Schizosaccharomyces pombe: one gene and its partners. Changing the gene in region 2 together with the main gene of any one other region gives a genetic interaction. Each region holds a gene or a part of one and is shown on either strand. Other genes may lie near its edges. The genes, in order: trx1, tpx1, pmp20 and txl1.

Region 1 (7,871 bases), on a different chromosome or scaffold from region 2:
GTACATATATCTTTTATCCGACAAAGGACACCGCATTGTATAATGCAACTGCTTAATAACTGGTATTCGTTACTCTTGACTGAGGTAGCTGCATATTTTACGAGCACAACTCTGTTTGTTAGTATTTTAAAAAACGCGCCTAGTCTAAGCTGGTTAATGAAATACGGAGGTCATGATAATTTTGGGTTAAAGCCTCCTCTAATTGCTACCAAGCTTGAAGTACCTAAACGGTGGTTTTGGCATTTTTACGCGTTTATTTCCCTCTTGAATCCATTGTTTACATTTTTTATCCTAAATACCAATTTTCCTATTCCTATATTTAAAAATATCAAAGAGGACTTGATGTACAGTAAAAAGCTACAAGTACTCCTACTAATTTATGAAATTCACACGCTGCGTAGATTATATGAGAATCTACGTTTTCGCAAAAGCGGTTCGAAAATGCTTGCTGGTCATTATTTATTGGGATACCTGTTTTACACACATACATTCCTTGCATTGCTTTTGTGCGGTAGAAGAAGTTATGAAAATACAATGTCAAGCATGCAATTTGTTGGTTTGGGGATTTACGCAATAGGCAGCATTTGGCAGAATGCAAGTCATGAACATTTGATTGCTCAAAAAAATCATTCGCAATATCTAGTCCTAAAAAAAGGATGTTTTAAATGGATAACTGGCCCCCATTACCTTGGAGAAATCATTGTTTATACTGGAATAGCACTGATTGCCCAACACTGGTTAATATGGCTAGTCTTGGGATGGGTACTTTGCAATATGGTAGCAATCTCTTCTTCTTATGCTTGTACGGTCAAGAACAAAGAACAAAGTTTGGACTTTCGGTGGACTCTTATACCTTTTCTATACTAAGAAAAGCGTGCCGTCAGGATACCGCGATTCTTATTGATTGTGTAAAATAACATTTATTAAAAAAAAAGATAATTTGTATTAATATTTAGTCGGGGTTTGAGAAGAGACGAACTTTAAAGATGTATTATTATTTTATGTTGCACTTTAGTACAAGCAACAGTAGATGATAAAAGTTATTTGGCCAGCATGTAGAAAATAGGGAAGGAAGGAAAAAGAGATAGGAAAATAAGAAAAAAGTAATACAAGTGTATCCAATATTTAACGGAACAAATAATAAGACATATTTTGTTTCGTAATATAATCATTTTGATATGCAGGTACAAATTCCATTTCACAACAATACCAAAGGTAACTTCCCTTAATTGAAAGAGTGACTAATTTAAAAAACGTAGACGAAGAGTGCAGCTATAAAGGTAAGTTAGACAAACAGACATGAATCTCTCTTTCTTTTATGCTTGAGGACGTGAAAGGTAATGGTAAAGGATGATTAAGAGCATCATGGAGATACCAAAGGTGGTAACGATATTTTGAAGTTGAACGTCTGTCATTTTTAAGATGATCCTTTGTAGGAAATGAGTTCTGATGCTTGTGCTCGGTACAAGTTGGGAATACAAGTATTTAGGTCCAAGCCTGAATTGCCGTGCATTCTCATAAAGTAACGAAGCACGGTTGCTACTTGAAATGTGAATATCAGTACTGCAGTGATGAAAAAGACTGCCGGTATATAAGGTAAAAGAAAGAAGAAAGAAAATTCATTTTACGGTACTTTCGAATTCTTTAATACATATTGCTGCTCAATAGCTTCTGGATGTCTAAAATGTGAATGCTTCGAAAGAGCGTAAAAAAATTTCAAAAAAAAAAATTTCTTCACCATCCCTATAATTGCCGTTGATTAAAAAAAAAAAAATGTAACTTTCTACTTTGTTAAAGCCAAAGTAGCTGTAGAAAAAGTGACTGTGGATGCGTATGTAAAAGGTTACCCTCTCAAGCTGAAAACTGCATTGTACTATTTCGCCATAACGTGAATTTGATATAAAGCGATGGTTCAATACACCGTTTCTAGAGGAAGTAGCATGGAAAAAACATAAATTAAAATATCGTTCATCGTTCTAACGAAAGTTCAGCTACCGCAAAGAATTATTTGACTGGCGATTAACTTTTTTTTGATTTCAGAATTTCAAGTATATGTGACACTGTTATAAACTGCATATTTATACTCCTTTTCCAATTTCTACCGCCATTTATATGTAAAATGGATTTTGTTAACAGTAGGAATATCGCCTCACTATTTTACATTTTTGTATGTCTTTTAATTTGTAATTTCATATCAGTACCTCAGTTGTTATAACAAAATTTTCTTAACATTACTTCGACTCCACTAACTAGATCGTGTACAGCAAAGAAAAGAGCACGCATAATCTTTCAGCTTACCAAAAAAAAAGAAAATCTTTACATTTACATACTTATTATTTTGATGCTTTAATTGCTTATAATCTCATGTTTGTCGAGAATCCACGATTAACAAGCTGACATAACAACAAGATGGCTTCTTTAGCTTTGTTTACTAATTGTCAGGTTTCCGATTTGTGATTCGTTGTAATTCCATGAAGTATTACTCCGAAATGCGTTATAGAAAATTAGGAAACGAATTGGTAGGTTGATGGCAGAGAATGGCACCATATCCTCGTTATTGTAGCTCATTACCTCATCGTCGGTGATTGCACAATGTACGCTCTCGATCTTTCTACTAGAATAAGCGAACTTATAAATTACACATTTTCTCAATAATATATAAACGGGCACGTCGCACCATCGTATAAGTATACTAGAGACAAAGTTCATTTGCACTCCTGAAGTCAACGTCTTTTGAATTTTTCAGGTTTACTTCTGTTTACTCGTTAAATCGATTTTTTCTTTATTTGAGTATATATTTTTAACTTAATTTCCCATTTCATTTATATACAACATGGTGAAACAAGTCTCCGACTCTTCTGAATTTAAATCTATTGTTTGCCAAGACAAGCTTGTCGTTGTCGACTTCTTTGCTACTTGGTGTGGACCTTGCAAGGCCATTGCTCCTAAGTTTGAGCAATTTTCCAACACTTACTCTGATGCCACTTTCATCAAGGTTGATGTCGATCAATTAAGTGAAATTGCAGCTGAAGCTGGCGTTCACGCTATGCCCTCTTTCTTCCTTTACAAGAATGGTGAGAAGATTGAAGAAATCGTAGGTGCTAATCCTGCTAAATTAGAGGCTTCTATTAAGGCGAACCTCTAATTTACGCAATCTGATAGTTAGTTGTTATGAACTTGTAATACAAAATATTTTTATTTAACAAAAATAAATGTTTTGCTTTTCTTTGTGTATGCACCGTTGTAATTTATTGGGAAAAGTATTTTTGTCCTAGCATCTTTTCTACTGAAGTTGCAGAACGGCGATTTGCGTACAATTATCGCAATAATAGTAATGTGCCATCGACCAGGCGTAGTAATCTAGTCATGGGCATTTTTCAGACAAGCTAGCTAATTTGCGACCGCCTTGAGCATTTGTAATATTTAATACGACTTTTTGGTTAGGCGTTCGTGACTCTGTTCTACATTATTCTCCTATCCTTCTAAGATAGACATTGGAGAGTGTATACCAATTTGGAATGATACCATTTGGATGAATAAATATCCTTTTTGATTACATGCTCAAATACATGCTACTCTTTATTTATAACATTATACAATTAACCCAACGAATATTTATGTTGATCTGAGTAGCAAACATATTTTTGTATTCTATTAGAATAAAATCTTTAATATTCTCGTTAAGTATTGTTTTATAACAATCAAATTTCACATTTATGGAGTAAAATCACAGTAATGATTACGCTCCGTCGACATGTTCTTAACACTTACATCCTAACATACATTGTTCGTCTAACGAGTTTCATTAAAAACACAATTTTTCTTAAACAAAAAGGAGTTCCTTTCTATGTGAAAGAACTCTACCAATTTTCCATTGTCTATAATAAGCGTTACTCTTAAAAACCTGGGATCTGTCTACATTATTTGCTAAAGTCTCGTATTTTATCAAAAGTTAACCAATGTCTTCAGTTGAGACAAGAAATTCTTTTAATCCTTTTCGGGTATTATTTGATCTTGGTTCCTATGGCTGGTTACATCCTTCAAGGCTCCTTCTGTTGGAAATTCCTTTTGTCTTTGCTATTATTTCCAAAGTTCCCTACACGGAGATAGACTGGATTGCTTACATGGAGCAGGTGAATTCATTTCTATTAGGAGAAAGAGATTATAAATCTCTTGTCGGATGTACAGGCCCTCTGGTCTACCCTGGAGGGCACGTATTTTTGTACACCCTTTTGTACTACCTTACTGATGGAGGGACCAACATTGTAAGGGCGCAATACATTTTTGCCTTTGTATACTGGATTACAACGGCTATTGTAGGGTATTTGTTTAAAATTGTCCGCGCTCCTTTTTATATATATGTTTTGCTTATACTTTCAAAACGTCTACACAGTATATTTATCTTACGTTTATTTAACGATGGATTCAACAGTTTATTCTCTTCCCTTTTTATTTTGTCTTCATGCAAAAAAAAGTGGGTTAGAGCTTCAATTCTACTAAGTGTCGCTTGTTCTGTCAAGATGTCCTCCTTGCTTTATGTCCCAGCTTATTTAGTTCTTTTGCTCCAAATCTTGGGGCCCAAAAAGACCTGGATGCATATTTTTGTTATTATAATTGTACAAATTTTATTTTCTATTCCCTTCCTTGCCTATTTTTGGTCGTATTGGACTCAAGCCTTTGATTTTGGCAGAGCATTCGATTATAAGTGGACAGTAAACTGGAGATTCATTCCACGCAGCATTTTTGAGTCTACATCATTTTCCACATCAATACTTTTTCTTCATGTTGCTTTGCTAGTTGCATTTACCTGCAAACACTGGAATAAACTGAGCAGAGCAACACCATTTGCAATGGTAAACTCCATGCTGACCTTGAAGCCTTTACCAAAACTCCAACTCGCAACTCCTAATTTTATCTTTACTGCATTAGCAACATCCAATTTGATTGGTATATTATGTGCAAGATCCCTGCATTATCAATTTTATGCATGGTTTGCTTGGTATTCACCATATCTATGCTATCAAGCTAGTTTTCCTGCTCCGATAGTAATTGGCTTATGGATGTTACAAGAATACGCATGGAATGTTTTTCCTAGTACTAAACTATCTTCATTAATCGCTGTATGCGTGCCGCTTATTACTATTTTGAAGCTATACACATCCGACTACAGAAAACCCTGATCCCTCTTTACTAATACGCAAAATAAACTTTATAAAAAGCTTAAACACTTCACTTTTAATTACTCATGGTTTTTAAAAAACAAAATTTTTAGTTTTTTCATTTGTGTACCGACTATAAATTTTTGAAAATTAACATCTTATAAAAACGAACATTAGTCTAATCTTTTAATTCGTATCTTTATGCCGTCATAATTCGATGAATATTCTCTTCAATGAAAATCTCAGGGGATTGACAGATTGATAAAAATTCATACATTTAATCATTCGACACTGAAATGAATTAGCACCAGTGTTTTTATCAAATGCTCATTATTACTTTTAAAAAAGCGTTTCTAAAATATAAAACAAACAGTTGCTAAGAACACAAGTGCTTTCCGCACAACTATTGCAAATATTAGAATAAACAAGTTGCTGATTTTATAGCTTGCACCATTGACAGTCACATTTTACTAAGGTTTCATTATATATTTCAGTTCCCTCGTTAAAGTAATTTTGTGATTTGCTGTTTATTTGCATAATGTGAACTTCTTAAGGATACATTCGACCGCTGTAAGCGCCTCTTGTCTGATGTAGCGTAGTATGGATTATGAAAAAAACATATTTAGCGTAACTTGTAATAGTTCTAATAAGCTAATAAGTAAAATCAACTTCTACCAGCTTCAACTGCACTTCAAAATATATTTTTCATAAAAGGTTTAGAATAATTGCTTTTTAAGGGAATGACTATAAACGCAGGCATACATGTGAGAAAGCAACTTTTATCTTACTATAGCTAGTGCAGCGTAATAAATATTTCTTTATATCAGCATATTGGCATTTCGAGGGAATAATGGTGAATATGTAAATGTCTTAAAAATATTAAATATAGAGCCAGTACTAATTGTTAAATAAAATTTAGATAATTTAAAAGCATAAATCCCTTTAGCTAAATAAATGCTTTATCGAATTTGCTCGGTTTGCGTCAGTTCTTCGAATTTCAATATTTATGAATAGAGTATACACTCCATTAAAGAAAAGAATTTTGTGAGCTACTCTGTATAGATTTTGAACCCGTAAAAACAGCAAATGCATAACTGAGCCCTAGATTGTTGGTCTAACGATTATTCTCGTAGCATGGATGCTAGACTTGGAATAACGCGACTAGAATGGTCATTCAAATTAGAAAATAAAAAGGATTGCTATTGCGTTTATCGGCATATTCTTCATTTTTTAAATTTTCGTTAGCATGCATATGCATTAGCCATTTCATGTTCATGTCTTTTCGGAATATTCATTGTTTACTTATTTGCGCCCTTGTATAATGAAAACAACAATAGATCAATCTCTAAAAAATTAAAAGGATCACATAAATATAATTTTTCTTCAATGTCAAAAGCTAGTACACAAAGGAACAACAGAGCTTTGTTGAAAATATAATCAATTTATACATTTATTAGAATTCTGACGAAATATTCATTTATAAGAAAAAATTATCATTTCAAATGTGAAACCTTTATTGTCACATTAGGTCCTTGAAGAAGGGGTCCAGATATGAATGTTGGATACGCGGTAAACCTGACTGCGTTTATTTTACTTCTGTTCAAAATATTTCAGGAAATTGGTTTTTATGTCACAGTATTCAGCATTCCATTGGATGTTTCTTGCTGCTGAAACATCTTTTATTAAATCATCCCCTAGGTGCATACATTCTTCTGGTTGAATCTCCTGTCCAAGAAGTTTAACAGCCTTTTCCATAGCATAATCAAATATTTCCCTGCTTGGTTTTTCAAATCCAACGTCGTACGAAAACGCATATATATCTATTAGATGATCTATGCCGTAATCTTCAAGCACTGTACGAATTCTTTCGTCTGTGTTTGAAATAATACCAATAATGTATTTCCTCTCTTCTTTATTTCTCTTAAGGAAATCAATCAGAAGAGGATGAATCGTGTAACCCGTCTTTTTGGAAAAGTAACTCCATAGCTCTTCAGCCATTTCTGCAGGAACAGGAGTTGGAAAAGAATGTTCGATAACCTAAAATTGTTAGCATGTAAAGGTTTTTTAGAAATCAAGAGATTCAATTCTTTACAAAACACAAATCTCAATGAAATTCAGACACATACTTTGATCCACCAGTCATGAGGATTTAATCCTGACTTTTTTCCATGATTCTTATGCTTTTCACTGAAATCCTTGAATGCTAAATTATTAGATAAATAGAAACCAAAAGCTAACCTTTATTACTATTGTGTTCAATTTCATCAATAGTTGCATGAACTCCATACTTCTGAGCGACTTCGCTGTACACAATTGGAACAGGTTTACTTAAATGAAGGATTGTTCCAAAAGCATCGAACGTAACCAACTTGATCTTTTGGATATTTTTTGAGGGAATCATAATTCCAGGTTGTACTTTGATGGGACACACTACACAAAGCAATTTACATAAGGTACTCCTTACCACCAGTGCGTTGTTCGGTGTGATAAATAATATTTGCAAATCACTTTTATTGCGAGCGATTGCGTTCTACATATTAAATAATATACGAATAGATTAAAAGTTCATTAAAAATTTATCATGTTACAAGACGAGAGACACGCTACAGCAATAGTAGTCGTTAATTTACGTCGGATACCTTACTAGGCGAGACCAAAAAACAAATTTCAGTAAATAATGCCATAACAGATCAAAACCTGAAAAAATAGAAG
Region 2 (8,151 bases):
ATTTTCCAATAAACTGTATTATTTTTTGTGTCTCTGTAAATTCAGCTTCAACATTCTCTTTTACTTTTTTTTTTTCTACTATTTCCCCTTTGCTTGCTCTTTTTCTTACTATTTTCTCTTCGCTTTCTCTTCTCTACCTTCTTTCTCTTCGTCTCTTACCTTTCTATTTTCTCTCATCATGCCTACCATTCTCGTCATCAATCCAAACTCTTCCACCTTCATCACAACATCCATGGAAGAAAAACTCGTTCCCCTAGTGCCTTCAGATGTAAAGTTGCGCTTTCTAACTTGTCCTCAACCCGGTGCTGCTGTCATCGACTCCATCACAGAGGCAACCTTGACAGCTGCTCTAGTCTTCCAAGCCCTAACTCCTAGTGTCTTGGATGGTGTCGATGCTATAGCTGTTGCCTGTTATTCCCCCACTCCTCTAGTCGACATGATTCGTGAGTCATTTGCTTTACCCTGCATGGGCATTGTGCAAGCGTCTGTCCTCAGTGCCTTATCGGTTGGTCAGCGCATCGGCATCCTTACAAGTACATATCGTTCCGAATGTTTGCTTTACGAATTACTCGATTCTTTTGGTGTTTCGCGCACTCGAGTGGCCGCCATTGCTTCTACAGGTCGCACAGTTTTGCAACTTTCGCAAATGCCTTCACAAGAGCGTGAAACCCTTCTTGTCCAAAAGGCCCAAGAACTGGCAAACACAAAGGGTGCAGATGTCATTTGTTTAGGTGGTGCTGCTTTAGCAGCTATTCGTGATCAGATTCAGGTTGCCGTAGGTCCCAATATTCCCATCATTGATGGTGTACATGCGGCTGTTGAGTTACTTGCTGGCCTAGCTCGTCAAAATCTTCATACATCAAAGTTTGGCATCTATACGTATCCATAAAGAGATGTCCATATGTTTTTAGATCTAGCAAACCAGTTTGATGCTGCTATATCACATACACACACATAATAATGTGTACGACAAAGGTTGATATTCCTGGATACGTATACATTTTCTCTTGATTTATATCAATAATTACATACCTATCTATAACGTGATAATTACAACCATTACCTCTTGATACATTCTTTTCTGTCATTGTTTACAAAGCGTATTGACACATTGGTTTCATAAGAATAACTTTTCACTGTATGCCCAGTGTGTTGGATACAAGCAGATTTACAAACATCCTTTTAAAAAATCATTTTGGGAAGCAGTCAATCTCGTTTATACTGTTGTATTTCTTTACATTCGCCTTTTTCCAGTCTTCTTCAGTTTAGAAACATTGGAAGGCTGTGAATGAGCTATATGGTACGAGGCAAAGTAAAATATTATTTTACTAATAATAAAAAATAAAATGCGACTACAATTAAAATTTCTATTTTATGTATCTCTATCCATTTATATTGACTTGAATGAACTGAAAACCTATTCTTCTTTATATCTCGAAAATTCTCGTTATGTCAGCAATACTACACTACGCTATGCTACACTACGTTGCGTATCACTATATGTCATATGTTGGAATACTAGCTAAGATCCGTTTATTGATAATCACGGGTAACTATCCTTCTATATACATAGATACCCGTTGATACAAGTATTTAGAAATATTATAAATAGCGTTACAACTGAACCTCGTTCCTCAGTTCAGTTATGAGCTATATTAGTGATAGGTAACATTATAACCCAGTTAATACAATACCTATACTCAGTTGCTACTTATACAACCTGTGTATTGTAATATAATAGACCACAAGGAAAACTCACCGCAGTTCTACGTATCCTTAAATCAGATACCAAACTGCGTAGCTTACATGTTATCGCAACGAGCGTAACTCGTTTAACTCCCTTTGGGCCTGATAAGGAAGATGCGGGTGAAGGGAGTGAAATCCACGGACTAACCTTCTTTTAACCACCGAAGTCTACCCCAGATAATCTGAGGTAGCAAGTCACTTGGTATGTCAGTGCGTGTCGGTGCGTTACAAAACGATAGACGCAAAGCAAAACAATGAGAGGATTTAATTTTTTTAGGTTCCATTTTCTTGGTATAAACTAAAACATAGGTTGCCTTTTTCTTTTGTTTTGAATTGTCGTCATGTTGTCAAAAGGCATAATAATACAAACGAGTTCAATAAAACACAATGTAATCACTCAAATCATTATAACCAGTTCATCCATATACTTAAAGTTGACTTCAAATAACTTTATACAGTATTTATAATTATAAATAGTTATATAACTTACGAGCAGCATCCCACACATTTGTAGCTTTAAACAAATGTATACGATGCATTAAAAAAGTCGTTTCTGAAAATATCATTAATTAATGAGAAAAATAAGCACATTAGCAGACGTCCCAATTAAATAATTTCCTTTTAGCAGATCCGCACTCTGCTAATTTACGCAATCCACCCTTGCCTCACGAGACATTACGATGGTATAGTATGATACACACACAGTTACTACCTCAAACTTTGAGAATATAGGCAAAAAAGGAGATTCATAAACTAATCTAAAAAGATACGAGACAAATCGTGTTTGACTCTCGTTGACTACACTTGCTCAGAAAATTGATCTAGTGCTTGGAAAAGTACTTCTCGGGGTTTTTGGTGTCAATGGTATCGGAACCCTTGTGCCAGTTGGCAGGGCAAACCTCACCGTGCTCCTCAACGAATTGGAAGGCATCGAGAAGACGGAGAGCCTCGTCGACAGAACGGCCAACGGGGAGATCATTGATGGTGATTTGACGCAAAACACCCTTGGGGTCGATCAAGAAAAGACCACGGAAAGCAACACCGGCATCCTCGATCAAGACACCATAGTCACGGGAAACCTTATGGCTAGGGTCGGCCAAAAGGGGAATGTTAATGCCACCAAGGCCACCTTCCTTACGAGGAGTGTTGATGAAGGCAAGGTGAGAGTACTCGGAATCGGTGGAGGTCAAGATGACTTGAGCATTACGTTCAGCAAACTTGGAGGCGGCCTCAGAGAAAGCAACAATCTCAGTGGGACAAACAAAGGTAAAGTCAAGGGGATAGAAGCCCAAGAAGACCCATTTACCCTTGTAATCGGCCAACTTGATTTCCTCGAAAGCACCGTTAACAACGGCAGTACCCTTGAAGTCGGGAGCAGGTTTACCGATTTGCAAACTCATGATTATAGATTAATGATATGGAATTTAGGTAGGTTTGGAACAAGTTAAGACAGTTGCTGAGCCCAAAGAGAATCGTACTATTTGGATGTTGTATCGAAAGACACTGGAGAAAAGAAGCGGTGAGGGCATGTCCCTTTATATAGGACAGGATCTGCAGCCCCAGCTGACATACCAAGCTTGCGACTAGACGAGACGCCGATCATTCCATAACGTTCTAGATTACATAAAGCGCACATCCACCCAATCGATGAGATATGCATGAAGTAAGCAAGTGAGCTTAGTCAATAATTAGGCGATAATGCAAATCGCTTGTTAACGATAAATTCCGTTCTGGACTTGTGCTTACACTATCAATATATACAGAAAATGAAGGAACACCGGTGGACCTATTGACGAAAAGGAACGAGCTATAATAAATAAAATAAGGAAATATGTTGCGGTGTGTAGAATTAAAAAAACTATTACTGCACTTGTAGAGGAGAGACGGTGTGAATCTTCATAGTCGAAAAGGAGAGTCTTAGAAAGAAGGATCATCTTTTTCTAAAGAAGCTTACAAAAAGATTTACGACGAAAACAAAAGGTAATGTACTGACATTTTGCTCCACGGTCCTCCGGCTTAGTATTATACCTCGAAGTGGCCACCTTTTTGTTGTAGTGGACAAAGATGGTTATATTACTATATAAGGATTTACGAAATAATAAGTAATTCAGGTTTCATCCAATCTTTCTCATCGTGTTTGTTTCCACGTTTCCTGCTGTTTTTTTCTTGCCAGTCTTGTTTATAAAATTGACTCTTCTGAGGAAAACGGCTTGAACCCTACACTGCTTTGCCTCTCTTCAAATTACATTTACGCCTCCTTATTAGCTTCTTTTGTTCTCGACATTTCTTGAAAACGTTGCAATGGTTCATGTAAAAGTCATTTGCAATTTCCATAGTGTTCTATGCATCGTCTGTCCTCCACTTTTGGTACGTGGGTCCTCAATTCTGTTTTAACGTAATTGAACACGATCACTATATTATCCATCACTTAATCTTGCTACTATTTATCTACTGACTTTCCCCTTTACCACGCAGCGCCATCGACTAAACATATTTGTGTTTTTTATTATCTCCTTCATATTTCAGTAAATTACAGGTTTTTTCTTTTTATCTCAATTTATTGCTTACAAAAAAACCTTAATTCTATTATATATAAGGCATTTCCTTCGCAACTATCCATTTGCTATTCGTGTTTTAAGGTATCTTCTTTTGTTTTTCAATCATGCCTGCAAATTACCAATCTGTGCCTCAGGATGATCCTTCAGTGCCAAATTTGGCTCAGGCTCCTCCCGCCTATTCCGAATATAATGAATCTGCTACCGAAAATCCCGCTGTTGATCAATTTAAAAATACTACGCCCGTTGCTGAATGCGCCAAAAGCATTCGCATGGCCTTTTTAAGAAAGGTTTATGCCATTCTCACTGCTCAGCTTTTTGTCACTTCTTTATTTGGTGGCATTTTCTACCTACATCCTGCTTTTTCTTTTTGGGTTCAAATGCACCCATGGTTCTTGATTCTCAACTTCTTCATCTCTCTGGTTGTTTTGTTTGGTCTAATTATGAAGCCGTATTCCTATCCGCGTAATTACATTTTTCTTTTCCTTTTCACTGCACTTGAAGGATTGACTCTGGGTACCGCCATCACATTCTTCAGCGCTCGTATTATTCTTGAAGCTGTCTTCATTACACTTGGAGTGTTTGTCGCATTAACGGCTTTTACATTCCAGTCAAAATGGGACTTCAGCCGACTTGGAGGATTTCTATACGTTTCTTTATGGTCCCTTATCCTCACCCCTTTAATATTTTTCTTTGTACCATCTACGCCATTTATAGACATGGCTTTTGCTGGTTTCGGAACACTTGTATTTTGTGGTTACATCTTGTTTGATACATACAACATCCTTCACCGTTACTCACCGGAGGAGTTTATTATGTCGAGTTTAATGCTTTATCTTGATTTCATCAATTTATTTATTCGTATTTTGCAGATTCTTGGAATGCTCCAAAATAATGACAATAACTAAACTAATTCCCACTGGGCAGCATGTACATGTTTAAGTCCTTGTCAACTTTTTGATTGCTGCACTTTGTCATCGTTACGATGCTTTTTTTTTTTAAAAAATGCGGTTCTTTTTTCTCTTCACCTAGGTCTAAAAGTGACAGGGGATTAATTCCCGGCATGGCCGTTGCATACTGTGTATATTGTTGAACCATGTATGTGCTAATTATAATGTTTGCTATGAATTTTATTATTTTTTATTATTTGTTATATTGTTAATGATCTCGATCTGCTCATTTTTACTACCCAAACGAGCGTATCGATGAATTCAAACGACATTCCTTTTTTTAGCAGCATGAATGGAAACGCTGTATTTAATTTCGTTTTCAATCCTTTTTTGTTGCAAAAGGTAAATTCCAACAACGGTGACCGTTAAAACTAAATGGTTGTTGTGAATGTTATTTCATGTGGGTCTTCATGCTATCTGTTAAAAAATGTTGAGAGTGTTTGTTTGAATATAAGGTTTCTATATTTGAATTTAATACTATTAGATCTGAAGAGATCTTAAGTAGATACTTGTAAACGTTATTGAGGTTAAGTGGGAGTTATTTACTGACACGGGCAACTGTAAGATGTAAGCGATTGATGATTGTTTTATTTGGACCATAAACTTTCAGTTGTTAAATGTTTTGATTTTTTTGCTAATAATCTTTCAATAGAAAAAGCTGTTTTTGTAGCTATTACATAAATGTGTATAGTATATATAGCGTATGTTACTGTGAGCATTATAATTTATTACATCTACGCTGTTCTTCACTATATGAGATTGTCATTTCAGTTATATACGCACTGAGTTTACCAACTACCGTCGTCAGGTAAATAATCCATTGTTGATGGAAAAGCGGAATGAGACTGGTAATAATCGATTAAAAAGGTCTAATAACAGAGGGAAATCGAAGAAGGATTGGAAAGACGCCTCTGTGGAAACAACGCCGCGAGAAACTTCAGTCGACGAAGATAATACTAGTGTTTTCGAGGATGTGGAAGCACAGGACAGTCGACAAAAACGGTTCTCTTCTACGTTAGAAGGAAACAGGTTCGAAGAATTGAGAAGTCTTCGTGAGAAGGAACGTGAAGTAGCAATCCAAAATGGCTTAATCGATGATCCTACGAAACCAAGACAACTAGATGAGGCCGTAACGTTTGTTGGTACTTGCCCCGATATGTGTCCTGAATATGAACGTGAACAAAGAGAATATCAAAATAATTTGGAACGGTGGGAGATTAATCCAGAAACGGGTCGTGTCGATAAGAATCTTGCTGTAAAGGCTTTTCATCGTCCTGCGGCCGGTAATGAGCAAGCGTTACCCTCAGATGTTCGACCACCTCCAGTTTTAAAGGTTTGATTTTTTTTTTCTTACTAATCCTCTTGATTCGCAAATTTATTTATATATGTATTTCCAAAAAGCTTTTCAAAGGTTCTTACTAGATTTGAGTTCGATATGAATTCTAGCCTCCAGCTTAAATTCTACCTTTCTATATTTATATAATTCATTTTGCGATTCTAGGATGTTATCTATTTTTTCTTTCTCAGTTGCATTTTTATTCACACATGACTTAGAAATCGCTCGATTATTTGGTTGATAAAATAGTCTGTGGTCCTGATCCACTTGAGAATACACATTTCTTTGTACGTGACCGTACTCGATCTATTCGACAGGATTTTACACTTCAGAATTGTCGTGATTTGGATGCAGTTGCTTGTCACGAACGTATAGCCCGATATCATATATTATGTATTCATCAACTGTGTGAGAAGAAACAATTTAGCGCTCAACAAGAAGTTGAACAGTTACGAAAAGGTAGTAAACTTAAAATGCTGATTTTGTGGGACTTGAATTTTTTATGAGCATTTTAGTTAGCAGCACTCTTTCTTTTCATATATTTTATCATACTAACCTTTTAGTATTGCAATCTTTATGTGAATTTTATGATGATTTAAGAAAAGTTAAAATTCGATGTCCAAATGAACCAGAATTCCGAAGTTATGCAATTATAACGCATTTACGTGATCCGGATGTTGTCAGACAATCCCAAATCCTACCAATAGAAATATTTGACGATCAAAGAGTGCAGCTAGCTCTTCGATTGTCAGCGCTGGCGCAAAAAAATAATGAGCGGGTTGGTCATATCCTTCCGCGAAACACCGAAGCATGTCCTAATCTTTACACTCGGTTTTTCAAATTGGTTCAATCTCCTGCCGTAACATATTTAATGGCTTGTCTTTTAGAATCTCACTTCATGTCTATTCGAAAAGGTGCTCTAAAAGCCATGCGTAAGGCATTTATGTCAGCCCATGCCAATTTCCCCTGTGGGGATTTGAAGCGTATACTACATTTTGATACTGTAGAGCAAGCCGCTTCGTTTTCTCGGTACTACGGACTAGAAGTCTCTGATGATAATGGCGAGCTCAGTATAAATCTGAATAAAACAGCATTCTTTAATGGTATGTGATTTATAAATTACAGGACTAACTCATAAGATTCCAAACCTGATTTTCGACAGTTGTTTTCACAAACACTTGTCGAGTCCAAACTTCAAAATCGCTCATTTGCTGATATTATAAACGGTTCTCGTTACAATATAGACCGGGTTTCTCCGAACACAGCTTTTTCAACTAATATTCCTTTATCATTGCCATTCGCTAATAAAGAGCCACAACCTATTGCTGGTTTTAAAAAAAATACACCTGAGACTTCGGTAGTATCAAAGAACCTTAGTACTTTTAATGGGAAATTTAACGTAAATGCTCCTGTTTTTACTCCTCGATCTTTTCCTACTAAACCTTTTTCTGCTACTGACATTTCGTCAGTCCAACCCACAAACCTACCAAATGGATCCACTAACGGTACGGAAACATTTATTCCTCCTGTTCAAAATTCAATCACCTCAAATAAGGAAGCTGTG
Region 3 (7,753 bases), 2.0 Mb from region 2:
CATTGTTCATACAAACGTCTTCAGCATATCTTTCCACACTTGCTCTGTACACGTATTCTTTCCCTCTTATCATTCCTGTTTTTCTTTTTTAATAAACCAACATGCCTGTAAGTAGTTTTATCTTTAGAAATCTGTGCATCATGGATCCTAACTATGTCTTTTAGACGGTTCAAACTCCCTCTCAGCGTCGTGCAAACACACAGTTTCAGAAGAACATTACTCGTCGTGTAAAAACAAATTCAAAAGAACGTTATGTTGCCAAACATCCTCCTACCAAGATTCCTCGTAACATTGCCAGTAAGTAAGAATTGATCCTATTGTTAGCAACTTTGGCTTGTGTTTCATACTGACAATGCATCTTAGTGTTTTTTATTCTTCTCATGTCAGGAGGAATTATTTTGGGAATACTTAGATTTCTTTTGACGTTTTTTTCTTAAGAACATGTGATTGGAGCAATTTTAAAACCTATTTGCACCGATATTGTGTATTATACTCCGAGAAAAAGTATACTAGTTTTGAATAATAAAGCTTGTGATATTGACGAAACTTTTTGACATCTAATTTATTCTGTTCCAACACCAATGTTTATAACCAAGTTTTATCTTGTTTGTCTACATGGTATTTTACATTCATCTACATACATCTTTCATTGGCTTTGTACATAGTTATCATTACAAGTCTAAAAAAATTCACTCTTTTCTTATTCAATGTCAATCCAAGAGAAAAGATTGTGGTAATGTTGTAGGAGCATGTTTAATAAATTACTATAGCAAATTACTTTTTATTCCCAAGGTGTTTATCTATAATAGTTAATATTTTAGTCGCTACATAAAATTTTACCAAAGAGTACTTGTATACTAATTCTAAATGCCTTCTGACATAAAACGCCTAGGAAAACAAACGCAAACAAGGCATCGACTTTTTCAATAACCAACCAAAAAAATTTTACATTAGTCTTTTTTTAATGCTGAGAAAGTCTTTGCTGATATGCCTTCCAACCAGCTTCTCTATATCTCTTGGCTTCGACAACAGGATTACGACCAGCTCCATAGACTCCACGACCAACAATGATGATATCGCTACCGCAGTTTACAATCACTTCTTCAGGAGTACGATATTGCTGTCCCAGCCCGTCTCCTTTAACATCCAAGCCGATACCAGGGGACATAGTTATGTAGTCGCTTTGAAGGTTAGGAAATCGACGACCAGCTATAAAGCCAAAGCAAAAATCGGTATGCTTCTCAAACCATTCTAAGGTTTTCTCTGTGTAGGAACCAGTAGCCAAAGAGCCTTTGGAAGACATTTCAGCCAAAAGCAAGAGACCACGTCCCAAAGGTAAACCAACTTCTTTGAGGCCTTGTATAATACCCTCGCCTGGCACTGTATGGCAATTTGTGATATGAGCCCAAGAAGCAATTTTGTACACACCAGATGCATATTGTAGCTTGACGGTATTTCCAATGTCTGCGAATTTGCGATCCTCAAAGATAAGAAAACGATGCTTTTTACCTAAGGCCACCAGTTTTTCTACCATATCCTGGTCGAAATCCTCGACAACGTCAATATGTGTCTTGATAACACAGACATAGGGTCCAATTTTATCTACCAATTCTAAGATTTCGGATTTCTTCGTCAAATCGACCGCGACTGACAAGTTGCTTTGCTTTTCTTCCATCAAAGCCAACAATTCCTTGGCAATGGGATTTTTCATCCCCTCAGCTCTAGCTGAATAGCTTTGAAATACTCTAGCATCCATAACTTTGCTTTTAAACCTTTAATTTCGATCCAAGCAAAAAAGAGGTTCTTGGTAGGACAATACGGTAAGAAAACACGACATGTGCAGAGATGCCGACGAAGCATAGTTAAACTGGGATGGTAAAATCAATTAAGAATTTATAAAGACAAAATTGTATAAGTCTCTAAAACATCTTAATTATACCTCACAGAACTATCTAAAATATATTCACAAAGTGCAAACATTATCATGAAAAAGAACCATTTTAATTTAAAGCAAGGGCATTAAGGCTTATTTACAGAATTTCTTACTTTTGTAAAGATTATAAGGCTGATTATCTTTTTCACCATGCCAAAAATTACACAAGATAGAATGGATGTTTGAAATTAAACGTGAGTATACAAACAAATACACTAGGTAAATCGAAACATTTTTTTCTCCATTAAGTAACAAATTCCTATTTAGAGAAAGAATGCTGAGTAGATTAAATAATCTATACAAACTTTTTTAACACAAATGCATACATATAGCCAGTGGGATTTGTAGCTAAGCTTCAGGAGTTTTATCCATTTAATGTATGGAATCAAAATTTAAAGCTTCTGTCAAAGTTTAACAATATTTCTTTTGGTTTAAATCAAATCTTCCATGCGATTAAGAAGATAGATGCTGAACAAAAGAAGCACATGGATAACCACAAAAGCAGTTTGCTCATGGGTACAACCATGAATTTTTTTTTCGACAATGATTCAAAGACCAGTATATCCAATACGCATCCTAGAATCTAGTCAAAGAAGAACCTAAAGTAGAGATGCAAATGCGCTAAAAAGAGTGGATATAAATTCAATATCATTTATAAAACAACTTCTTCCATTAAAAATTCCTTGGGCAAAACAAAAGTTCCAATCATAAAAAGTTAATAAGTTCTGAGTTGTGTCAAATCTGACATGGCATTCCTCAATAATGACACTCACTCATTATGTAAGCATCGAAAACATATTAAAATCTATACAAGCTGTTTTGTCATTACGGTCTGGCATCAACTTTTTTAGAGGCGGTACGAAGATGATTTTGCACACGGATAACCAATTCTTCATGAGATCCGCTAGTTTTAAGTGAATTTTTTTTACAATACTCAATTAACTGTTTTTTTGACCATTGACTAGGAGGACTTTGAGAAATGGAGGATGAAGCTGTCTCCCTGGAATTGTCTGTGATAGGACTAACTACAACCGCCAGGGAAGAAGCAGCAATAATTGCAGCAAACGATAAAGTTAAGACATTAGCTATTTTCATCGAAGATGAAATACAAATGAGTAAAAAGAACCCAAAAATGAAAACTGTTATTAAAAAGGAGATTTTGAAAATTTAAAGGTTGAGGTAAAGAACGGTTGTAGAAGACGAGCATCTAGAGGAAGACGCCCCCAACTGTGGCCAACGTTTTTCATTACCCAAATTCATCTGACATTGATTATGATACATTGAAGGTGTGCTTACATCTTTCTAGTCATTATTTTGATACCACCACTTAGAATATCCATTTCAACTTCTACCGATTTTCAATCGTGTTACGAAAACTTATTGTAATCGATTCAACGTTTTACTTGACATTAATTTTTTAAGCATATCTACTTTCTTATAAAGAATTGTACTAGTACTCAAACAATGAGTTGTTAAGATAATTGTGTATAAAATTTCATAAATCTAAACATATATCATCACAATGACAAAAAAAACTCAAATATGGAGTGCTTTATCTCCATCATTTCAAACGCCCTTAAATAAGGAGCTTATCTTTTTGATTCTAAGTTTCGTTCATTAAAGGAAAAAAACATTCCCATCAAAACAATTAGTACAACAGTTCATCAGATTTAAAGAGAGCTAAGGACCTTGTCAGCGGAGGAAATATCAACATCGGTGACCTCGTTCTCAATGAAAACCTTGACAACCTTGCCATTCTCGACAACAGCGGCATAACGCTTGGAGCGAAGAGGGCCCAAAAGACCGCTAGCGTCGAAGCCAGCATCAAAGGCCTTGGTAAACTCTCCGTTCCAGTCGGCGACAAAGTGAACACCACTTTGCTCACCACCGTCGAAAGACTTCTTCCAAGCCTTGGTGACGAAAACGTCATTTACGGCAACGACATAGATTCCGCTGATGCCCTTGGCAGCAAATTGCTTCTCATTTGCAATATAGCCAGGAACTTGAGAAGAACAAGGAGGAGTGAAAGCGCCGGGAACACCGACAATGATGAATTTGCCTTGAGAAGGGAATTCAACAACCTCTTCGGGCTTGTTTTCCCAAAGAGTAACTTTAGGCAAAGTAGATCCGACAGCAACCATTTTTAATAGTAGTAATAAATTTGTGTAAAAGTTAAAGCAAGTGGTATAAAATCTTTAGGAGTAACGGCGTATTCAAAAAATGTCGTTCAAGTTTAAAGATAGTATTATCAAGACAAATGGGCACATGTCGTTAATATATATACCTTTCTACAAAAACGAATCTTTTGGTGACGTCAAATCACCAAATTTGTCGGGATGGAAGATTTTTTTTCTTTACTGTTCTTCATCTTTGTATGAAGAGCTTTGTGGGCTGCGAGTGGTGGAAAATCCCAACCGGCACTGAGACCGCGCACAGCTGCGTTTTCAATGGTTCGTGCGATATTCGGTATTTGACTGTTGTAAAAAGGCAAGAAACGCTGAGACAAAGTGTTTACTAGACAGCCATTTTTATTAAAAAGAAAAAGAAAATGGCAATAGAGAAGATTACGTTATCGGGTAGTATGCATGCCCGGGTGTTAATTATTCCTTTGAAATTTTGAATTTTTAAGGTTTTAACGAAGTGATGATGTTTTTCTTGTTTAATTTTCACATCAATATCAGCAGTAACGTTAAGAAAAAAGTTTGATTCATTTTCAAGGTTGTTTAATTGCTTTCAAGAAAGTCACTGTAGTTTCCCCTCTAAAATAGGTGAGAAATTTTCATCAAATTCGATTCATCACTTCCTGCACCTCTCGGAACTGTAGATACCTTTTCAAAATTTATTGCTCACGATTTGCTTTGCGGTATCTATGAACAGATAAATGGCGCAAACCCCGACGTGGTATAACGAACCGCAAATTTTTGAGTCCTCGAATTCATTTACGAATTAGAAATGTTAACACAAAGACCACACTTGTGTTCGTCAAATCAATTTTCCGTGGTATTGCGACACAATTAGCCAGTGCTATGAATAGAGCGAGAAAGGTGGAAAAATTGACAAACGCGTCTCACGCATCAATTGCTCGTCAAAATCTCTCTAAAAAATTTTAAAAAGAGTATTAAAATATATTGAAACGTTGTGAAAAATTTATTTTATAGCTAATACTCAAATATCACGATTTTACCGCTTCTACCATCTGACTGGTAATTGATAAGTACGTATACAAACACATTCCACGTGTCTATTCAGCAATTATTTAAGGTACAGTAAAGATGCAAAATATCGTACGTACTGCATCGCTATAAGTTTTAACAAGGACTATTACATCACAAAAGACATTAATGGTAAGCTAAGTGTCTATGTTTATACGATTTACCGAACTAGAAGGTAGGATGAATTTGGGTTTCCTAAGAGTTATTATATACAAATACATCAGTGCAATAATAATGAAGTATATCAGTAGCAAAGGATGGATTTGGGAAAACGGATGTGGAATAGTGAATTTTCGAAAGTAATCCTTTTTCATTGTAGCTAACATTTTGTTCTTCTCCCTTTCTCATGATGCAAGTAACGGAGTTAGATGTTTAGAATCTCATTTTCTTTTTCCAAAGAACGATTAACGGAAAATTCAAAGGTTTTGTACGTTTAATCATTAATAAAAAAAAAATAATAATAATAATGATAATAATATAAACTATTACCTAGTAAAAAAATACATACGATAAGAATTGTAGTGAAATATGAAAATGAATTTTTTATTAATTTAGATTTTTTAAAGATTAAACTCATTGAATCATATTAAGCATAAAAAGACTGGTTTTTTTAATATTTCAATTTTTTTGCATAAATTTGTTTTACATAGATTTTTTAAATTGTATTTTTCTAGATATTAGTCCTATGGGATTGGAAAGCCCAACATTAAATGGATAAAAATCATATGTCAAATACATTCCGATGGAATCTCATTTGAATATTTGTTCAATACCAAATAACAAACAAATAGGGAGAATTAAAAATCAAAAATAGCTTCTTGGTATTCATTAAAGTTTCAAGGTTTCATAGGTTATTAAGCCGATTTCCAAAAAAAAAAAAAATTAGCTTTTCTAAATAAAAATTGTCGATCGCTCACCAGCATTTATAATCATGGCTAGGATCTTTGCTTAATGTGTTTTGCATTTCAAGGATCCCCACATAAAGATTAATTGCATGTATACAACTGCTGCTAATCCTAGGCAAAGCGAAATGAAACCAACTGTGGTTATATTATAAATCGCACCACCACAAATGGAGCCAAAAGTATTGGACAAAGACACTCCTACTTGTACGACTATGCTGGCGGTATTATGATGCCTTGGATGCAACTGTTTGGACGAAAGGGAAATTAGAGGCGCAGATCCAATGCTATAGCCATAAATCATCAACGAATACAAGAAAAAATAAACTTGCATGGGTAGCTTGTGAACTGCATCTAATACTAGATGAATGGCTACTGCCAAAATTCCCAAGAATAGGCCTCCCAACATGATGTGTCGGTCTTCGAGCCATCGAGACAAAAATGAACTCGCTAGAATAAAAGGTGCCACGATTAATGCGGATAATGCTATAAAATTTCCTGATTGAAAAGCATCGTAATTATAAAGTTTTCCTGTGTAAATGGAAATACTAGCTTGGTAGCCGTTCACGGTAAAGTATGCTATAAATGCCACTTCCGCTAAAAAGAAAAGCAAAAATTTATGTTTCCAACTCAACTTTGGCCTGTCCTCATCATCATTTTCTTTTTGTTGTGAAACTTTTTCGCTTTTGTCAGCCGTTACCTCTTTGAAGAAGAATATGATAGTTAGCATATAAAAAAACCACATAAACAACATGACCCATGATGCCACTGTGTACTGATTCCAAACAGCGTTCTTTGAATGAATTGTCGCTTTTGCTAATATACCTCCAAGGAAGGGACCTGCCATGAATCCTAAGGTCTGCGCTAAGATGTTCATTGTTGCCAAGAATGTTCGACGATTTTGTCCGACGAGCAACTTATCTGTTGTATATTTTTTGTGATATAAGAAGGTAGTGAACCCAATACCGTTCAGCATTCGCCCGATTAGAATTAGATAGATCCAATTGGCACGATATGCCATGCAATAAAGTAAATGGCCAAAAATGTGAGCAAACGAAGATACTACCATTGGTCGGAAGTACAGAGTATAACCGTTAGCCGACTTTGGGTTTGCAAAGCAAAGCATGGGATAAAGAAATATTAACGAAATTAAAGTGGGAATCCCAATTACCAAACCTGAAAATGCATTTGTACCACCAAGGCTTTGAGTGTAAGAGGCCGACGTGGGTAAGGCCACAGCCAAGGACATATCGGACATTAAGCTGTTAATCAATATGAACGCAATGGATACCTTTGGGGGCAGTTTGTTGGCATTTTCGTCTACAGGATAAGTTGGAACAAGACTTGAACGATTACTCTGAAATGTTTCAGTAACCGACTCGACTTCTGATGCTTTCTTTGGATAGGTATAAAATTCATATTCTTCGGATACTTGGTCTACGAAACCAAGATCTTTAGAGGTGACCTTAAAATAAGTCGGCCTACTGTCAACCCTTGATCGGCGACGACTAATACTACTAAAAGAGCCACTTCGTTGTGATGGCTCCATTTGTGGAATACTCCTAGATAATCAAAAATTTTTTTGGTAGATAAGCGATTCAAGGAGTTTTATGCCGATGAAGCCTATAGTATAGCTCGATAGCTTGATCCAGTAATTGAATCTTGCACGTGGCTATTAAGCTATGGTGCAAAACTAATTAGTATCT
Region 4 (8,498 bases), on a different chromosome or scaffold from region 2:
GAACGTGTATGTTTAGACACCCTACCATACCATGTATGTCCAGTATAAGCAGGTGCCTTTTCGTATAGCGCAACTCCATCATGATTTCCAAGGTGTTTCCATTTAGGAATTTGTTCGACAATTTTCAAGGCGTCCTGAACGATCCTCTCTCTCCAACTCTCAAAATTAGGATCTGTCGCTTTCAAAACATCGTCCGAAGAGATTGGACATATTGAATCTGAACCAAAAAGATCTTGTTGCATTCAATGGTCTAGTTGGCTAATGGTGAGGTTAAATTTTTAGGGTAGTAGTAGTAGGTCCTAGTCGTACGTAGCTTCAATAAAATCGTCAATACAACAAAAGACTCCAACATTTCTCTTTTATATCATTTTTAAAACAAAATATAATATTTATGAGTAGTTTGTCAGCTGTTGGAAATTTTCACCTTTGCCACTGTGTGCGATCGTTTGGTTTAAAGAATGTACCATTTAAAATGGCCTAAGTATTACCCAGTTCATGATTATAACAAAGTATAGTAGTTAAATATTATAAAATGCTTGAATTCTCAATGAAATTATGTTTTCGCTATGAAAGAACCATGCTACATATTCAGTATATATAAAGGAAATACAAATAGCTTGTTTGTAAACTTTCTACCGTTACCTAATTATTGTTGGATTTCTTACAGACTATTAGGTCAAGCGATTAAACCATAAAGCAACTCATTGATGATCAATTTACTTCCATCATCTTTTTAAGGTAACTTACTCTAACTAGTAAAAGTCATGTTAGCTCCAATACGTAAGTTGAAACCAAAAGCAAATAAAATGCAATTCAGTAATCATATAGAGTAAGTTGCAGTGCATGTTAACCAATTCATTCATAAAGTATCTAGCGGATGCTTTGAGAGAACAATAAACTCGAGCTCGTTTATTTATACCGTTTACAATCAGGGAAAAAATTATATCTTTTTACCATTCGATTCACCAAAATGAATCAATTAGGAAGTATTTCGTGAGCTTAAAGAATGCTTAGTATCTCAAAACGCATTTTCATCTCTGTTGTATCGCATATCATTTTGTTATTCATGAATGCTTTACTATGTGCAAATTATACGGTTTGAGTCCCGTAACCATACTGCTTTTCAGCAAATGCCCATTTGGAGGAGACAGATTGATCAGTCTGGAATTCGATGCCCTCAGGTGTAATGGTAGCAACACTAAATTTGTTTAAACTTCTAGCATCCCTATAAAACAAAACACGCATACATTCATCGATAGTAGCACGAGCGCTTTCTTTAGAAAGCGTTTTCCAGCGATCATCGTCAGTGGCTTTACGCAACATAGGAAGAGCCAAATGCATGGCAAACCCAGTTGCGATTGCCGGGGCAGAATAAGTAGTTCCTCGAAGATCTGCAAAAGCAACATATGGTTCCTTATTTTCCCCATCCACCCCGGCTACAATGAGTTGATTCCAATATGGGTCAAGTTTGTTTCTGCGAGCGTACAACACCTTCGACAAGTATTCATGAATATACGAAGGTTGTAAGGCATAGCCGTCACCATAATTTCCTTCTTTTATTTCTAATTTTTCTAATAGGCGCTGGATTTGTTGATAATCCGAAATATCCCCACCGGCGCCAACAATCGTATTATCACCTACTTTTGTCAACCGTTCAACATCATAAAAGCGCGCTAATGATCCATAGGATGCCAGGTTATCAGCAGCAATCATTACACCGTCTGCAAACTTCAAAGCAAGGACTGATGATCCAGTTACTATCGGTTGAACAGTGCGTTGAATTGGTGCATCGGTTGATTCTTCAACTTCCGAGCCACTAGGAAAAAAAATGTCTTTTTGAGGCTTTCCCCAAACCTCTGTTAATTCTAAAAAACTCATTTTTTGCAAATTAAAACTGTGTGGTTCTTACTAAGTTTTCGAGGTTGATGTCGCTTTATAACACATAACCACCATGCACCTATTACGAAGACAGTGTTTGAAAAGTTTGTAGTAATTTTGAGAAGGTTGCTTATTAATAGCTTTCAAAAGTTTTATATTTGCTATTCTAGATTTATTCTAGATACATTAACTTTTAATGATAAACTGAAGCAACCTATGTTTGATAAGAAAAAGTACAGACAAAGTCACTTTATGGGATCAAACTATGATGTAGAGTTAAACTAATAAATAAAATATAGAAAACTTTATCTTCCTAAAAATTGTGCAATATTCAATGGAATGGCTCAAGTCTAAACTCCGTTGGTCAAAGTTTAGTTAAAATGAAACATAAGCTTAGCAATTATTGATAAGTCACTGGAATATTAATTAAAGAGTCGTATACTTCTTGAATTATGTTTCGTCTTGTTTCTAAATCCGAAATCTTCGTAGGCGATTTTAGAGCTTTAGGAGACCACATGTAAATGTTCCCATTCATATCACCAGTAAAACACTGTTCAAAGTCAGGACGATAGGCAGCACAATTAATACGTTTTAAACTGTGGGTTGAAAGTCGGCGCACAAACGAGCCTTCTAACAAGTTCAATAAGGCAAGAGACCCATCATCGTTGGGGAATAACACAAAAACATCTGAATCCATAGAGGGTTGGATCATGCAAGGATGTACCGCGAAGGAAGTAGTCTGGTTATGAATAATAGGTCCAAATTCTCTCAATGTGTTTCTTCCACTTTCCATATTCCATACTCTTATTCGATCGTCGGTACCACAACTTGCCAAATATCGAGCATCTGAAGTCCAAGCTAATCCATTAACGGTGCCGTAATGAGATATATTTGTCTGGTTACTGGGTAAATACTTATTATGTAGATCCATACATGCGAAGCTGGATGATACTTTACGAATGTCCCAAAGTCTGCAAGTGCCATCTGCAGAGCCGGACGCTAACACGAATTCATTCTTAGGACACCAATCCACCGCAAGGACATTACCCGTGTGTCCAGACAAACTATGAGTATAACTACCACTTTGCATATCACAAAGCCGAATAGACGAAGACCGGTAGGCGGCTATCGTTAGATGAACAATCTCAAGAATGAAGAATATAACGTACTGGCAATTAAACAATGTGATGCAATGGGCGACCATGCATGTGAATAAATCATGTCCTCCATAGTAAAAGTGTAAGCTTCCTACCAATATTAGAACATTGGTTAATTTGCGATTTCTACTTTTATTACCTGTAAAGTAGAAACATCCCAAACCTTGAGCGTATGATCGAACGACGAGCTAGTAAAAATACCATTATCAAACGGAAACCAATGCAAATCTGTTATTCCAAACTTATGACTCGTTCGACTAAAACACCGCAAGTTAGCTATTGATCACTAGTGTATATATTGAAATTGTCATAAACTAGGTAGAAAATGAATGCTTACGCAGGAACTGCATTTAAGGTATCCAAAATTAAATCTTCATCTTCCTTTTGGTCAATATTTTGTAGGTCCCAAACATTGATAGACGAGTTGGCTCCTCCAGAGACCATGCTGTCAATAGAAATTGTTAACCAAAAATTGAAAGCTTTGATAAATCAACGATATAGGTCATACAGCTGATGAATTGTATTATCAATGCTTAGTGCATTTACGGATCCTAAAATGCCCGCACCGTGTCTACGTTTAATTTTCACATCCGGATTCAGCGCTAACCGTTGAAGACGATGCTGCAGTAGTTGCCTTCGAAAAGAGCTATTTGGCTCTACAAATGTGAGACTTGAAATCCTTATATCACATAATCAATTGCATTACCTTGGCCCCATTCTCGTGCCAATAAAAAAGAATTCATTCGATTTCACCTAAGAAATAGACTCAGATGCTACAGTAAGCAACTGACAGCTTAAAACAACCCGGTTTTTAAACCATGTATAACAAATTAAGTCTAAATAAAATTACAGCTAGTTTAATATGAGCGGTAAATAATACTGTCAATTAATCAACTTCTATGTTTAAATAGCAAACTCAAAGGTAGTTTCCAGGAAACAATAATAAAAAAATATGTTTTTCGACGTTGGCTAGACGCACTACTAATAACGGTCGTGGTGTACGAGATGGTATTGGCAGACGGTTTATAGAACTCAACCTCAACCATATGTCAGTTATTGAAATTAGATCGTACCAGCACTGGATCTCAACGATCCCTAAGTCCGGATATCTTGCAGTTGATTGCTATGCCGATTGGTGTGGTCCTTGCAAAGCAATTTCTCCCTTATTTTCACAATTAGCATCGAAATATGCTAGCCCCAAATTCGTTTTTGCTAAAGTAAATGTAGACGAGCAACGTCAAATTGCCTCCGGGCTTGGCGTCAAAGCAATGTATGTGTTTACCTAATCCGTCACTGTACCATTGGTTTTGCTAACATTTTAGGCCTACATTTGTTTTCTTTGAAAATGGCAAACAAATTGATATGCTAACTGGAGCAAACCCACAAGCTTTGAAGGAAAAAGTTGCTTTGATTTCCTCAAAAGCCACAGGAACTGGCGCTCTTGCTTCTTCGTCATCGGCACCTGTCAAGGGTTTTGCTAGCTTGCAAGGCTGCATTGAAAATCCCCAATTGGAATGTCTAAATCAACAAGATGATCACGATTTGAAAAGTGCATTTAACAGTAATCCTTCCTCATTTTTAGAGTCGGATGTTGACGAGCAATTAATGATATACATACCTTTTCTTGAAGTGGTAAAGGTTCATTCTATTGCAATTACTCCTGTTAAGGGAGAAACTTCGAGTGCTCCAAAAACCATCAAATTGTACATCAATCAGCCCAACAATCTTTCTTTTGAAGATGCTGAGTCATTTACTCCAACTCAAGTCATTGAGGATATAGTTTACGAACAAGACGATCAACCTACAATTATTCCCCTTCGTTTTGTTAAATTTCAACGTGTCAATTCTCTCGTTATTTTTATTTATTCGAATGTCGGAGAAGAAGAAACTACTAAGATTTCTCGCTTAGAATTATTTGGTGAGCCTGTTGGTGATTCAAGTAAAGGAAAACTACAAAAGGTCGAAGCTTAGGTGCTTAACAATTTGTTAACTAAAATCATGACGGTTTACGAATTTACCTTTATGAAAATCTAGTTTCGTATACATTACTCGACCAATCTGGTGTCTTGATACCAAAGAATACTACAAACCTTTCATTTGAGCATTGTAATTGCTGACTACTCACGAAATGGGAATATAAATGGATAATCTAATTTATATAGAATAAAGATTTTCTAAGCGGTAACGTTTGATAAATAAAATGAATGTTTTTTAATTTTGTCTCACGTAGAGGAAATTTTGTGAGAAATCCAAAAATTCCACATATTAACACTATGATGACCTTTCCCAAAGCTGAATAAAACTTTCGCCTAAACGAATCATATCGCTACTGATTTCTTCAACATATAAGTCTTGAATTTGATACCATTTATTGGTAGAGGGGTTTCGAATTTGAATTCGGAAGTTATGAAATTCTTCTTCAGCATGTGTCACGGACTCATGTATAATATTAGCAACGAGGTTGTATTTCGTAGAGATTTTCGGATTTGACTGGATAAATGAGTCATCAATAAATGGGCTCATATCAAAATCATCCAAAGGAAATGTCACTATAGTTTGGTTTCTTTCCGTAAAGTAATTGTTTTTCATAAATCTTTTGATGTGAAATATAAAGTATGGAGGAGCCGTCATTAAATGAAAACGCCGTCGCATACCTGCAAGTTCTTGGGTATGTACCCCATTATATTTGTTAAGTATCTCTTTTAATTCTACTTGTGGGATGATATTACCTTCAAACTCATCTTGGAATATGGGTTTCGGAGGTAAATCAAGAGTAAGGTAAAGAAAAGGGACGACGTTAGTTTGTATAACCCTATCACCAGTAAACACAACTTGCTCTCCCTTTTCAGCATGTTGGCGAATTTTCTGTGATTCAATACGTACAAATCCTTGAAAGCTGTAATGTACAATAGAAGTAGGTTTTGCTATGGTCGACTTTTTTCCACCAAGGCAATTGTGTAAAGTATTTAAAAACCAGGAAAGGAATTCTACTGGATCTTTTTGTTCATTAATAGAATATTTTTTGTGAGAAAGAACTGTAACCTCCTGAATGAGTTCTTGAGGAGAGACATGGCTCTTGAATGCTTTATGGTTCCAAAGTTTACGAATAAGGATTGCCAATCTTTGGACAAGTTGAGGGCAATTATCAAAGTTTTTAAGCAAAAAATAATTTCGAAATGGCTTAACATGGGCCAACATATGAATCACCACATTAAAGTAATCGTTATTTTTTATATTGTTCATGCCAACAAAACCTACAAGTGTTAGAACTTAAACCATTAAATAAAATGAATCCTATCACTTTTTCATAGTAAGCTTTATAAAAGAAAACAAAACAATTCCCCACGATACTTACCTGGAACATAGGGTTTGAGCATTAAATCGTAACTGAGCTGTGGTGTGTGATCTAGTCTTTGGACTTCTAGTTTCGTAAAAGTAGGTCGCATCACATAGGCAATATCTTGTAAAGCGCTGGATTCTACTTGATAAGATTCCGGCAAGACATAAAACTTTAATGTTGAGCAATTTACAAAAACATGATGATTTTCGGTGAGTGCATGGAAATAAGCATGTGATGAAGGTCCACGACCCTGGAAATATCTTCCACAGACTAAGCAAGCATATACACTAAGATTTGTCAAGGAAACGGAGCAAACCTTTTCAAAATCAAAATCTAACAATTTACGATTGATCTAATTAGCGTTAATTATAGAACAAAAATGCAGCAAAATCACTCTTACAGTGTCCAAATATAGGTTTTGTGATATTATTGGAGTTGTTTCGTGTTCTTCCATCTCTTTAGACGCAATATCATGAACATCTTCCATGTCTTTACCCAATTCGAGTTTTTTGCGTTTTCCATTATCAATATTATTATCTTCTTCAATATGGCGTTTTAAAATATTATTTTTATCCTTATTTTCTGACATTTTTGAAGCTTTACCATCTATCGATAACTTCAGTTACTAAGTCGTATGGAAGTATCTTCCACATAATTGCACTCGTCTAAGTCAACAGCAGATCACGCTCTTTCAAGTCATTTTCTACTTTTACTAGCTTTCTCTTTCTTATTTTCATATTTAATGTATTAAAGGGATATCTAAATACTATTTCAAGCCGGAGATTTCACATTTAGACCTGGTTCTCTGCTTCTAAAGCCGAAAGCGGTTATTAGTAGATTCTTCCGTAACTTTCATTTCATTTGGTTGATAGAATCTATCCCATCAAAATTATAACTTATTTTTAATCCTTTTTGATTAGATTTACATTACCCTTGTAATCCCCTGCCAAATATTATGGATTGGTAAGTGGTTTTATTTTTTCCCCTTTCGAATGCACAGTCTACTAATTATTATTAGCATCGATAAATCAATCAGAAGGGAATCTTTACGAAAACTTGGCTGCCTTCCCGATCACGGTTGGAATCTGTTCGTACAATCAAGTAATCGTTACTCAAAATTGCTTGAAGCAGATTCTAAGCTATTTAAGGCCCAAAGAATTGAGGACACTGTCTTGTCAATTTGTGAAGTTACTTTGGAAAACAAAGCCTCTGAAAATGCCTTGACTTTGTTCCAACAGCTTCGCTTTTACTTGCTGAATTATCTATTTTTGGAAGATACCTCGGAGTACAAAAGTGTTTTATGCTCACTTGATGAATCTGTCTATCCTAATCTTTTACCACTGACTGCGAATATTTGCCCATGTATTCTTAAGGCGCTTTTAGCGCTTGTCAGGCAGCATAGAGAATTATCTTCCGATATAGTGAAGTTTTTGAATAGCATTTTTTTGGCACTAACTCGTATTCTAAATACTCCTCATTCGTCAAATAATAATCCAACTCATACTAAAACGACAATCTTTGAGAAAGTGTTTTATGCCTCCCACCTTGGTTTCTTTTTTGAAGAAATAGCCGATGCTTGCATATCAGCTTTGCCGCAAGACGCGTGTTTATGGGCAATGGAGGTTTGTAACACGATACTCGTCTCAGACCTTCCGTGTAAATTAATAGACCTTCATAATGATTCTTTTCTTCACCATTCCAATTACTATGCTGGGTTTGGGTTGAGCTATTACCTTTACCTTTCATCTATGAAAGCATACATCAATTCTTCTGGTTGCCTTTGGTATGAAGATGCTACCTCATTTTGGGATATTGTGAAACATCGCCCTTCTTCTCCGGAGGAGAAGCCGTTTTTAACGCAATTCCAAAGCATCTTAAACCTTAGTGATAAGTTTTTGTCAAAAACTGGGACCTTGAGACTTCAAGAGAAGTTGGGTACTTCATGCAATTTATTTTTTGTACTCGTACTAAAATTGGCACTTCTATCCTCCTCCTACATTGGTTTTGTTCCATACACATATAGTGATTGGATTAATGTGTTGTTAGGTTCCATATCTGAAGATCCGGAGCTCTTACCTCATTTAATTGAACTTATGGCTTCGTTGGCCTGTGTTTTCCCCACT

Evidence for each region.
Region 1: of tpx1 (region 2) and trx1, changing one enhances a phenotype caused by changing the other (phenotypic enhancement), as found in Schizosaccharomyces pombe (one study listed by BioGRID).
Region 3: mutations in tpx1 (region 2) and pmp20 impair growth when combined (synthetic growth defect), as found in Schizosaccharomyces pombe (one study listed by BioGRID).
Region 4: of tpx1 (region 2) and txl1, a mutation in one rescues a mutant of the other (synthetic rescue), as found in Schizosaccharomyces pombe (one study listed by BioGRID).

What each region holds. Positions count from the first base shown.
Region 1 is NC_003424.3:2,622,624-2,630,494, forward strand, and holds trx1 (cytosolic thioredoxin Trx1), read left to right. Parts: upstream 1-2,709; 5' UTR 2,710-2,833; coding exon 2,834-3,145; 3' UTR 3,146-3,232; downstream 3,233-7,871. Other genes in the region: dfg10 (steroid dehydrogenase), read left to right, coding at 43-867; oligosaccharyltransferase subunit Ost4, read right to left, coding at 1,317-1,415; SPOM_SPAC7D4.08 (uncharacterized protein), read right to left, coding at 2,419-2,709; dolichol-P-Man-dependent alpha(1-3) mannosyltransferase Alg3, read left to right, coding at 3,960-5,180; SPOM_SPAC7D4.05 (hydrolase), read right to left, coding at 6,750-7,196, 7,286-7,362, 7,398-7,560. UniProt on the Schizosaccharomyces pombe protein: Participates in various redox reactions through the reversible oxidation of its active center dithiol to a disulfide and catalyzes dithiol-disulfide exchange reactions.
Region 2 is NC_003421.2:2,082,469-2,090,619, forward strand, and holds tpx1 (thioredoxin peroxidase Tpx1), read right to left. Parts: upstream 3,252-8,151; 5' UTR 3,147-3,251; coding exon 2,568-3,146; 3' UTR 2,474-2,567; downstream 1-2,473. Other genes in the region: SPOM_SPCC576.02 (hydantoin racemase family protein), read left to right, coding at 179-889; BAX inhibitor family protein Bxi1, read left to right, coding at 4,409-5,209; nuclear export factor sac3, read left to right, coding at 6,078-6,584, 6,806-7,049, 7,151-7,690, 7,727-8,151. UniProt on the Schizosaccharomyces pombe protein: Thiol-specific peroxidase that catalyzes the reduction of hydrogen peroxide and organic hydroperoxides to water and alcohols, respectively.
Region 3 is NC_003421.2:114,820-122,572, forward strand, and holds pmp20 (thioredoxin-related chaperone Pmp20), read right to left. Parts: upstream 4,181-7,753; 5' UTR 4,075-4,180; coding exon 3,604-4,074; 3' UTR 3,403-3,603; downstream 1-3,402. Other genes in the region: protein tam14, read left to right, coding at 102-107, 165-297, 364-437; orotidine 5'-phosphate decarboxylase Ura4, read right to left, coding at 962-1,756; protein new25, read right to left, coding at 2,759-3,028; SPOM_SPCC330.07C (transporter), read right to left, coding at 6,094-7,596. UniProt on the Schizosaccharomyces pombe protein: May act as a chaperone rather than a peroxidase. Has no thioredoxin-dependent peroxidase activity. Shows weak chaperone activity.
Region 4 is NC_003423.3:763,062-771,559, reverse strand, and holds txl1 (thioredoxin-1-like protein Txl1), read left to right. Parts: upstream 1-4,069; 5' UTR 4,070-4,081; coding exon 4,082-4,305; intron 4,306-4,357; coding exon 4,358-5,006; 3' UTR 5,007-5,208; downstream 5,209-8,498. Other genes in the region: SPOM_SPBC577.11 (uncharacterized protein), read right to left, coding at 1-242; pre4 (proteasome core particle subunit beta 7), read right to left, coding at 1,090-1,878; DNA repair ERCC8 family protein ckn1, read right to left, coding at 2,279-3,003, 3,048-3,126, 3,175-3,292, 3,373-3,480, 3,544-3,691, 3,742-3,778; ubiquitin C-terminal hydrolase Ubp10, read right to left, coding at 5,307-6,289, 6,391-6,727, 6,776-6,964; 1-phosphatidylinositol 4-kinase Stt4, read left to right, coding at 7,331-7,338, 7,394-8,498. UniProt on the Schizosaccharomyces pombe protein: Has a role in cellular detoxification of alkyl hydroperoxide.